Schizosaccharomyces pombe: one gene and its partner. Changing the gene in region 2 together with the main gene of any one other region gives a genetic interaction. Each region holds a gene or a part of one and is shown on either strand. Other genes may lie near its edges.

Evidence for each region.
Region 1: of cis4 (region 2) and ubc4, extra expression of one rescues a mutant of the other (dosage rescue), as found in Schizosaccharomyces pombe (one study listed by BioGRID).

What each region holds. Positions count from the first base shown.
Region 1 is NC_003423.3:713,135-716,811, reverse strand, and holds ubc4 (ubiquitin-conjugating enzyme Ubc4), read right to left. Parts: upstream 1,528-3,677; 5' UTR 1,480-1,527; coding exon 1,360-1,479; exon of another isoform or gene 1,281-1,359; coding exon 1,203-1,280; exon of another isoform or gene 1,045-1,202; intron 832-1,044; coding exon 586-831; 3' UTR 501-585; downstream 1-500. Other genes in the region: 19S proteasome regulatory subunit Rpn3, read right to left, coding at 2,717-3,677. UniProt on the Schizosaccharomyces pombe protein: E2 ubiquitin-conjugating enzyme that catalyzes the covalent attachment of ubiquitin to other proteins. Mediates the selective degradation of short-lived and abnormal proteins. Mediates ubiquitination of pex5.
Region 2 is NC_003424.3:4,725,888-4,731,617, reverse strand, and holds cis4 (Golgi zinc importer, CDF family, Cis4), read left to right. Parts: upstream 1-2,276; 5' UTR 2,277-2,559; coding exon 2,560-4,758; 3' UTR 4,759-4,836; downstream 4,837-5,730. Other genes in the region: trm401 (tRNA (cytosine-5-)-methyltransferase), read right to left, coding at 1-1,530, 1,576-1,698, 1,738-1,784, 1,835-1,867; DNA replication pre-initiation complex subunit Cdc45, read right to left, coding at 4,858-5,154, 5,196-5,730. UniProt on the Schizosaccharomyces pombe protein: Probable zinc transporter involved in Golgi membrane trafficking through the regulation of zinc homeostasis.

The DNA.
Region 1 (3,677 bases), on a different chromosome or scaffold from region 2:
AGTTGAATTGACTGGCTATTATGAGTTGTGTCTATAGCAGTATCACTTCGTATTGCATGTCAAGTATTATCATTTTCTTTTCAGCAAAAAGGCGCTACAAGGAATTTGTTTATTACTTAGTTTTGTTTAATAAATATTTTTAGCAAAACCTTAAAGACGTAGAGCCGTTTACTCTCTTCGTAACACGACTTTCCATTCGTGTTATTCTACTTTTACTTGCACAATATTTCACTTAATCGGCAGTGTTTACGTACCTTTTTAAAAATATATGCACAAACGCTCTTGGAATAATCCAACTGGACCCATTCGGTCTTATTAAACACAAAGAAAAATTTTGTACTATTCAAAAAATCATAAAAATTATCTAAATCAAATCATACTTTATCCTCGAACATAATACAGTTTGTTTTAAAGGCAGCTTGTATCCTCAATTTTACGATGCAACTTTACTAGCTACATTATCGCCATCCCCTACTATTTATTTAAAAAACCAAAACCAAAAAAAAAAAAAAAAAACTATACAATACATTGGAGAAAACAATTCGCAAAAGAGATGAATATTTAATATCAACACAGAAACAAACTCTAGATTGCGTATTTTCTAGTCCATTCACGAGCACTTAATTCATAACGGGATCTGTCAGTTTTGTAGACGTGCGCAATTTCAGGCACAAGCGGATCATCAGGATTAGGATCTGTCAACAATGAGCAGATAGACAGTAATACCTTTGATATAGTCAACGCTGGAGACCATTGGTCACGAAGGATATCCAAACAAATGCTACCGTTTGAATTGATGTTGGGATGATAGATTCTGGTTGTAAAGTTTACCTACGAATATGCTGTTAGTTATCATTAAAAAAAAAAGACTATCAATCAGATTCGTAATGCTACGCAATGTAATTGCCCTCGCTTCACTTGGATGGACGCAATCGTATAAAAATCGATAAAGTTCCGCTGGTAAAACATAAAGAAATGAAGATAAAAGGTAAGAGTAAACAATTATAAAAAAACTTCTGCGTATACTCTTTCACCATAACACTTAAAAAATTTTGCATCACTGTCAACCATACCGATTTTTCCAGAAAAACAAGATGCAATCAACTCTTCAATTCATATTGTATATAACAAACTTCCTCCTCCGATTCACAAGCTTACAATGCGTATTTACATAATCTACACAAGACTAAATAGTTACATACCTTTGGTGGCTTGAATGGGTAGTCCGTAGGGAAATGAATGGACAAGAAGAAGACACCACCCGCATAAGGGCTGTCAGCCTATATATCATGTTAGCTGCACAATCCTAGCAAGCAAAATTTTGGCAGTGCGCAAGGCACTATTACAGCCGCGACTTACAGGACCCATGATTGTAGCTTGCCAATGGAATAAATCATCGCCAACAGGGCCGGCGGAACAAGAAGACGGTGGGTCTTTTCCAAGATCAGCTAATTCACGGTTAATTCTTTTCAAAGCCATCGTTACTGGTTTGCTTTTGCGATTTTACAAAGTCAGTAGTTTGCTCGTGGAAGAACGTGGACGGAGGTAGAAATAACATATAACCGATGGATGCACTAAATCACACGAGTTCGACTTTGTCTGAGTAAGCAATTTTTCAGGATGGCGCAACTTGCTTTGTACCTGCAAAATACCCGCTAAACAGTTTGTTATCCTTTTAAGGATACGCTACGTTACGATAAATTTTTTCGGGATCCAGCATACTATTGTATTACAAATAGGGCAAAATTAAAGAGAATTACAGATATTATATTATGGGGGCGGTATTATAACGATTTATCAATAAAAGAGCTTGTAAGTGAACTGAAGAACGAGGATCAGTTTAACTGACGACATGATGGCTAACTCAGAAACTATTTTACTTGTGAAATACAATATAGACTATATCAGTATCTTCCCGTATTTAGCGAATAGAGAAACCGGACAGGCGATATTTGATGATATGCGCCGTAGCGACCACAGCAGAATACACCATTGCTCAAAATATCGACAAAATTGTTAAATTACTATAACGTAAAAAATGAGCTTGCCGTTCCACTTTAAATATATAGTGTTGATCATATCTACTAACTTAGCTAAAATTGACAAAGTGGTAATGGGAGAGACTAATGTATAGCTTTGGTTTTATAAAGTGTTACTTAAGTCACGTTAGAAAACTAGCTTATATCCACTGTGGTTATTATTTTCTGCCGGAAGCCATTTTATAGCATTGCTTTATTTGCTCTAGTTATGCATAACAAAAAATAAATTTGCACAAAAATTTTTTGCCCATTTCGCCATTTATAATTAAAAAGACTAAAGTATACCTTTGATTGGAACCATAATCCAAGATCAAATCTGTATTGCTTCACAGCATAACCATAAATGTGTTTGCATACGTGTATTATATACGAAATATAAAACAACAAATTTGAAAATAAAGCACACGACCATTCTCCAAACCCCTGTGTTTTTAGCGTATTACTCATTTATTACAATGTGCAAAGACCAAGTCTCAGTTTAAACAACAAACGCATTTGTAGCGTTGTAGCACCGATCGAAAACTGTTTTTCAACAACTTTCCTTCTGTTACAGCTTCGCAAACTCACTAAATATTTCAATCTGTAAACTACATATAGTTTTCATAGACATTAAAGAAACATACAACTGAACAACTTTGAAAGTATATTTTAAGATCTATAAACTTTCCATAAGTTTTTTAAAATTCGCCCAAATCAGGCTCATCGTCATCTAAATCTGCCTCAGCCATTTCTTTATCCATACGCCTACGTGCCTCTTCCACACCTTCGAGTTCACTTTTGTGAGCATCCATGGGATATCGCATACTTTTTATGCTGTCATTATGAAGGGCAAGACAAAACTGAATACGTTCATGAAAAGCTTGTTGAGGCTGCTCGGTGGAATAAATATCCATGGCTTCGTTACTAGCCATAAAGGCATTACTATGATCGATACTTGCATCAATAACTCCATCACGGATGCCCTTAGCAACAATGTACTCGGCACTCTCTTCACTGTCCAAACCAAGCTTTATACAAACATCACGAAGGGAAATACGGGAATAAGATAAGGAGATCATCCTCAATCCAGTCTTAATGACGGTATGGCGAAGGCGGCATATCAAAGTATACAATCCATCGAAGCGAAATTCAGCCTCATACTTGGAAAGCGCGTCAGTGAAAGCACAAAGGTCACCAATACGAACTGCCTGGCTAATACGTAAGTAAGGCACTAAAGTTTTTTCGAGAGATTTTTGGCGGAAAATGCGGCGTTCGGGAATTTCTCCCATAAGCAATTGTACGACGATGTGCAATTTGTAAACAGCTTCCAGAAATTGAACGGCATATACTGTGTTGGGAGCCTTACGTATAGCACTAACTAAATGTTCATGAGCGGTCGTGTAGTCAAGTTGAATGGCGCGAATTCGACCCAAATAGTATTGGTAGCGAATTGCCAAGTTATTACTAGCATTCGTAAGAAAGGATGTTTTCGAAACGAGACGGTCTGCTTGATCATATAGGTTAAACTGAATATAATTCCGAAGAAGTAATGTCAAAACCATAGCTTGAGTTTCAGAGTCGTGACGTAAAGATGCAGTACGATGAACGGACAAAAGAGTGTTCCTGCATTCTACAGACCTATTACATTTTTCAAAGAAT
Region 2 (5,730 bases):
TCGCTTTGAACTCGAAAAACGCAAGTACCGTTTTTTTCTGCTATCTCTCTTGAAAGACTTCCAAAATCTTGTCTCACAAAAATTTTGAGACCACCATGCACGAATTTAACACGATTACGATTGTTCTCAATTACGTTTCTGAAAAGATCGTTGGAAATATAAATGGCTTTCGTAGGGACACCATTGACATTTCTAACGAAAAACTGATTCTTCTTTATGATAGCTTCATCAATGCCAAACTTCTTATAGATTTTCTCGAGAGCTTGATCGTCCTCTTTTATATACACGAAAGGATCCAATTCGTGAAATCGATTGCCCCCATTTTTTCCTTTTGGTTTAACTTCGGCTAATTTTGAATCCGAAGATGTTTCTTGAGTATCTTGTTTACGTTTTTTTGATGCTTGTTCACTTGGCAACTTTTGTTCTCGTAAAAAAACCTTGTTATCGTCGACGGCAGTTTTCATAGAGCTAGTAAGATTTTCATATTTTTCTAAAACTGCAACAAAAAAGCCTCCAGTATTTTGGAAATGTGGATAAATACGTAAGCAATTTTGAATATTCAGCTCAGCAAGTTCTTTCTTTGGTAGTGGCCATAAAGTAGGAGGCATTTTTTCGTAAAGCTCCTTTGGCAAGGTATCAAATGAAGGATAAATATTTAGATCGGAATCACAAACTACCCAGTTATCAACACCTTGACTACGTTTTAACTGAGGAAGCTCCGAACTAACATCCACCAACCTTACAGAACCTCGGGTAGCATTCAAGACAGCAGAAACCACTGCCTCATTTTCAATTGGATTTAATGAACATGTTGAATACACCAATCTTCCTCCTTTTTCCAACAGTTGTAAACCTCTCATTAAAATCTTAATTTGTGTCGCGTGAAGCCCTAAAGCTGTTTTCAAAGACCACTCATTCCATAAAGCAATGTTTTTTCTAAAGGTTCCATCTCCAGAGCATGGGACATCAGCAAGGATACGATCAAACTTAAGGAACTTTTTACCGTCGGGAGAAGATAGATGGAAATTCGGCAAAAAGGAAGCATCGTGATTAACAATTAACACATTTGGAGAATTTAATCGCTTAATCTGATGTACAAGCATATGCGCTCTTTTATTGTCACTATCATTTGCAATAACAATTCCTGAAGGCAACAAAGTAGTAATATCTTCTTTCTTAGTTGGTTTGTGAAGTGCCTCGAGTAATTGAGCTGTCTTAGAACCAGGCGCCGCACACATGTCCAAAACTTTGTGGTGACTCTCTACATTAAGAAGTAATGGTGGAACCATACTTACAGATTCTTGCCTGTTTATGTCACCCGCTTCTGTTTCAAGTACAAGAAATTCTTGAAGTGCCTTGAGATGAGGGCTTTTTCGAATAACTTCCTTAGAAATGTCCAGCATAAAAGCCATTCCATCAGGATACCATGGAAGTGAAACTGGCAAGGGGATTTTCGCATCCTCAGTTCTTGCATTCTCAATGAGTGGATAGTAGTGTTCTATAAAATAATCACGAACTTGAGTAGCATGACTTTTAAAATGATTAGAAACAAAAAATAATAATGTTTTTACTTACGGAATCGATGCAGTTATTCGAAATGTTGTCGGGAGTTGTTCAGTAAGCTTTTGCTTTAAAAGGATAAAGTCATCCTCCGTCACTAATTTCTGAAGCCTGTAGTACTTTTCAAAGTTTTCATTTCTATCTAGTAAGTAAACATAATCTGAAGTCATGACTCACTTTCTCTCAATTAAATCCCAGTTTACAAACTCCCCTTTTTTAGACCTCTATTTAATACACATTAGTAAGATAAAAAATAAATTAATTTCGTACTAACATTTTTTTTACTAGAATAATGCTTACGACCCATCTTAAACTCCTCCTTTTCCTTATCAACGTATCGAGTTGGTACAAGACAAGCAATTTTCAATGCTGGATAGTGCGTATTTTGTTAGCAGATTACAAAATTACTTTGACCTATTTTCAAGGAAAAAACTCTCAAAAATATTTTATTGAATTAACAAGAAGTTATATTGTCTGCTTTGCGACATTTTCTACAGATCTTGGATAACTCAAGAATTTACGAATATTGCACATTGTTATTGTGGATTTGCTTCGCACCTAAGTGAGATTATGAGGGGTTGTACATGAATTACTAAAAATGAAACTGTACGAGTGCTTACTTTTAAACATCAATCTTATATTATCTTAAAATCTCGAATGTATAAAGACTGTGTTTGTGTTGGTTGACTTAATTTAGCGTGTTAGGTCTTTTTGACAACTACAACCATTTCATGTTCGATTTAGAATATCTCAAATTTAGTTAAACAGAAGTTTGACTATAAGACGCTTTTAATAACTTTCAACGTTTGATTTTAAATAGTTAAGACCACTTATTAACTTTGTCAAATTAACTTAATGCACTTTCACATCCAACTCAGGATTTAAATTTCAAAACAGGATTACTCTTTATTTTGTTTTCTTTATTCTTTAGTTAAGTTTTGTTAATCATTCAATTTTTTAATAGTCAACCACAGCTTTTGGGTGTTCCTGACGACAAAAATGAATGTTAATTCTTCTGCGTTCGAGAGAACCAATAGGTTCCCTTCTTTTCCTGTTTTAAAAGACGACCAAAAGACAAGTTCTGATTCAATTGCTGCAGCTAAAAAAAAAGATTTGTTATCGCTCATTTCGAGTAAATCTTTGCTATCATCTGAAACACTAGGATGGTTTTCTGTAATTTGTGCATTCTCCATTACTGGTTCTGGTCTTGAAGTCAATACCATGTCGATTCCATTTTACCTTATTTTTGGCATCTTTGCTTTTGTCAGCTTTACTACTCAATATTTGGGCATCTATTCATTTTCGTTCCAACCTTTTCAGTTATTAAATGTAATAATCGCTTCTTTATCGATGGTATTCATAACTTTAGGTGCCTTTGTACTTGGAACTCTAGACACGACTTGTTTGTTATTGCTAGCTTTCAAATTATTTTTTATTCGTAACGATCCTACACCATTTAATGCCAGATCTGCTAATTTGAAGAACTATATAGCATTTCCAATATGTCTTTTTGTCATTAATCATATCCTAATACTGTTGGGTTATTTCCAATGTTCTTATTCCGTTTTTTATGCCAGCGTTTTTTATATACTTCTTGGTGTCTTCATTCGAGTCTTTTACCTTGTGAACAAAGAGAAGTTTGAAAAGAAGGAATTGGCATTCCTTTTTTCTTCTATCGTTGTGGCTTGTCTCATTCAATTTAATGTCCTTCCGCTTGGAACAATCAATCTATCAGTCACTCGTTTTACCATTCTTTGTTTTATGCAAATTTTTTGCATCAATTGGGATGGAATTGCCAGAATTCAATTTTACTTGGGAAAATTCGATATTTCTTTAATTATGGCCCTAATTTCTGCCATTATTAACAAGACAGCTTCTCAAAATTCTATCAAGATCATATCATGCCTCTATCAAGTAGGATTTTGCTTCTTTAAAATTGGTTCTTCTATAACAGCAAACTTGAAGCTTCCTGACAACAGCCGTATTTACCGACTTTACAATGATTTCATAGTGAATGGAGTGCTTGCCGATAAAGAGTCAAGAAGCATATTTTATTTCTTCCTTTTAAATGTTTCTTATATGTTTGTGCAAGTTATTTATGGTCTTTGGACAAATTCTTTGGGGCTTATTTCAGACGCAATTCACATGGCTTTTGACTGTATTGCTATTCTTGTCGGTTTAGTTGCTACGACGCTTGCCAAGATGCCTCTAAATTATGCTTACCCCTTTGGATTTGCAAAAATTGAGGCTCTTTCGGGTTTCACTAATGGTATTTTTTTAGTTTTGATTTCATTTTCTATCGTCGGCGAGGCATTATATAGGTTATTTCATCCGCCCCAAATGAATACCGACCAATTGTTGTTGGTTAGTTTTTTGGGCCTTGTTGTGAATTTGGTAGGTATCCTAGCGTTCAATCATGGGCATAATCATGATCATGGGTCTCATCACCATCATTCCCATAGTAATCATAGTATGTGTCTGCCTAACACTACAAATGATATAAATATTTTTGAAGAGTTTGAAGAAGAAAAAGATAATGTTGAAGCCCAGAAAATGGGCTATACGAATGACGATCACGTATCCCAACATGAACATACCCATGAGAATAGTCAGGAACATCACCATGAGCATAACCACAATCATGATCACATCCATAAATACAATGAAAAATGCGACCATGAAAGCATAAGTCTCCAGAATTTAGACAATGATCATCACTGTCATCATCACCATGAAAATCATAATATGCATGGCATATTTCTGCATATTATCGCAGATACTATGGGCTCTGTTGGAGTTATTGTCTCTACTATATTAATACAGTGGTTTTCATGGACCGGTTTTGATCCTTTGGCATCTCTAATAATTGCTGCATTAATATTTGTTTCTGTACTTCCATTAATTAAAGATTCGGCGAAGAATTTGCTCTCTGTGACTGATCCAGAATCGGAATATTTATTGAAGCAGTGTTTGTCGAACATCAGTTTAAGTAACTCCGTTATCAGTTTATCCAACCCTAAGTTCTGGACAAACGAAAGAGGTGAAGTGTATGGAATACTCCATATTCAGGTGAGCATAGACGGTGATTTAAACGTGGTTCGTAATGAAGTATTTAGGAAGCTCTCAATCGCTGTACCAAATTTAAAACACATTTGTATACAATCTGAACGGCCAAACAATTGCTGGTGTGGAAAATAGTTCTTACATCAGTTGATATCCATACTTATTTACGTGTAATTTTAATTAGATGAATTAATATTTTCTTTATTAGCAAAATTCCCATTATTTACCCAATCTTTATAATAGTGTTTTGAAGGACAGACTTTCTAAAAAAACCCCGAGGTCACTTTTTTGACACTCAATCACACTTGCTTCAAAACAGTCCATTTGCAAAGTAGCAGATGTCATGTTTGCAACCTCTTGAAATGCAACTCCAAAACGATTGTGTCCATGACCGTCGTCATCATCGTCATCTTCATTGCTAGTAAAAGCGGAAGTAGAAGTTCCAACTATTAAGTACCTATTTTTTTCCTCTACAAAAGCTGCTAAAACAAGAGGAAGATGTCTAAGCTTTCCAAATTCTCGTTCTTGCTCCTTCAAGTGTTAGTCAAACGTTAAAATCAATAGACACTTACATTAATAGCTTCAGCAATCCAAAGACTCATCTTTGTTAACGCAAGGGGATGCATAAATATTTTCAGATCTGGTCCTTCGTTGATAAGTCCAAAACGAAAAGATCTCAACGTTTTAATGGCTCTTTTTTCAAGTAAGGTGATTCCAGTACGAACAATGGCTCTTTGTAAGTGCATTGCTAACTTCAATGCTCTTTCTAATGAATCGACATCGTCCAAGGCGTCGTATGCATCATAAAAATTGTGCAACCATTCTTGATTTTGAGCATTTTCAAACTTCTCCAAATATTCTTCCTCCGTCATATCCGGGCTTCGAGCGACAGTTTTGCTTTGAAGCAAAACACCTGTATTACCCATTTCTAATAATGCACTGATAGCATAAGAAACGTCACTTGCACTAAGTGTACATTTGAATCCATAAGTCCGAGTAAAACTATGGAATATCACATCGTCTAAACCATAAAACGGTGCAAATCTTTTAAGACTACTTTTCAAAGTTTTTTTTAAATCCATGTTCATGTGAATATAAGTTTGTTTA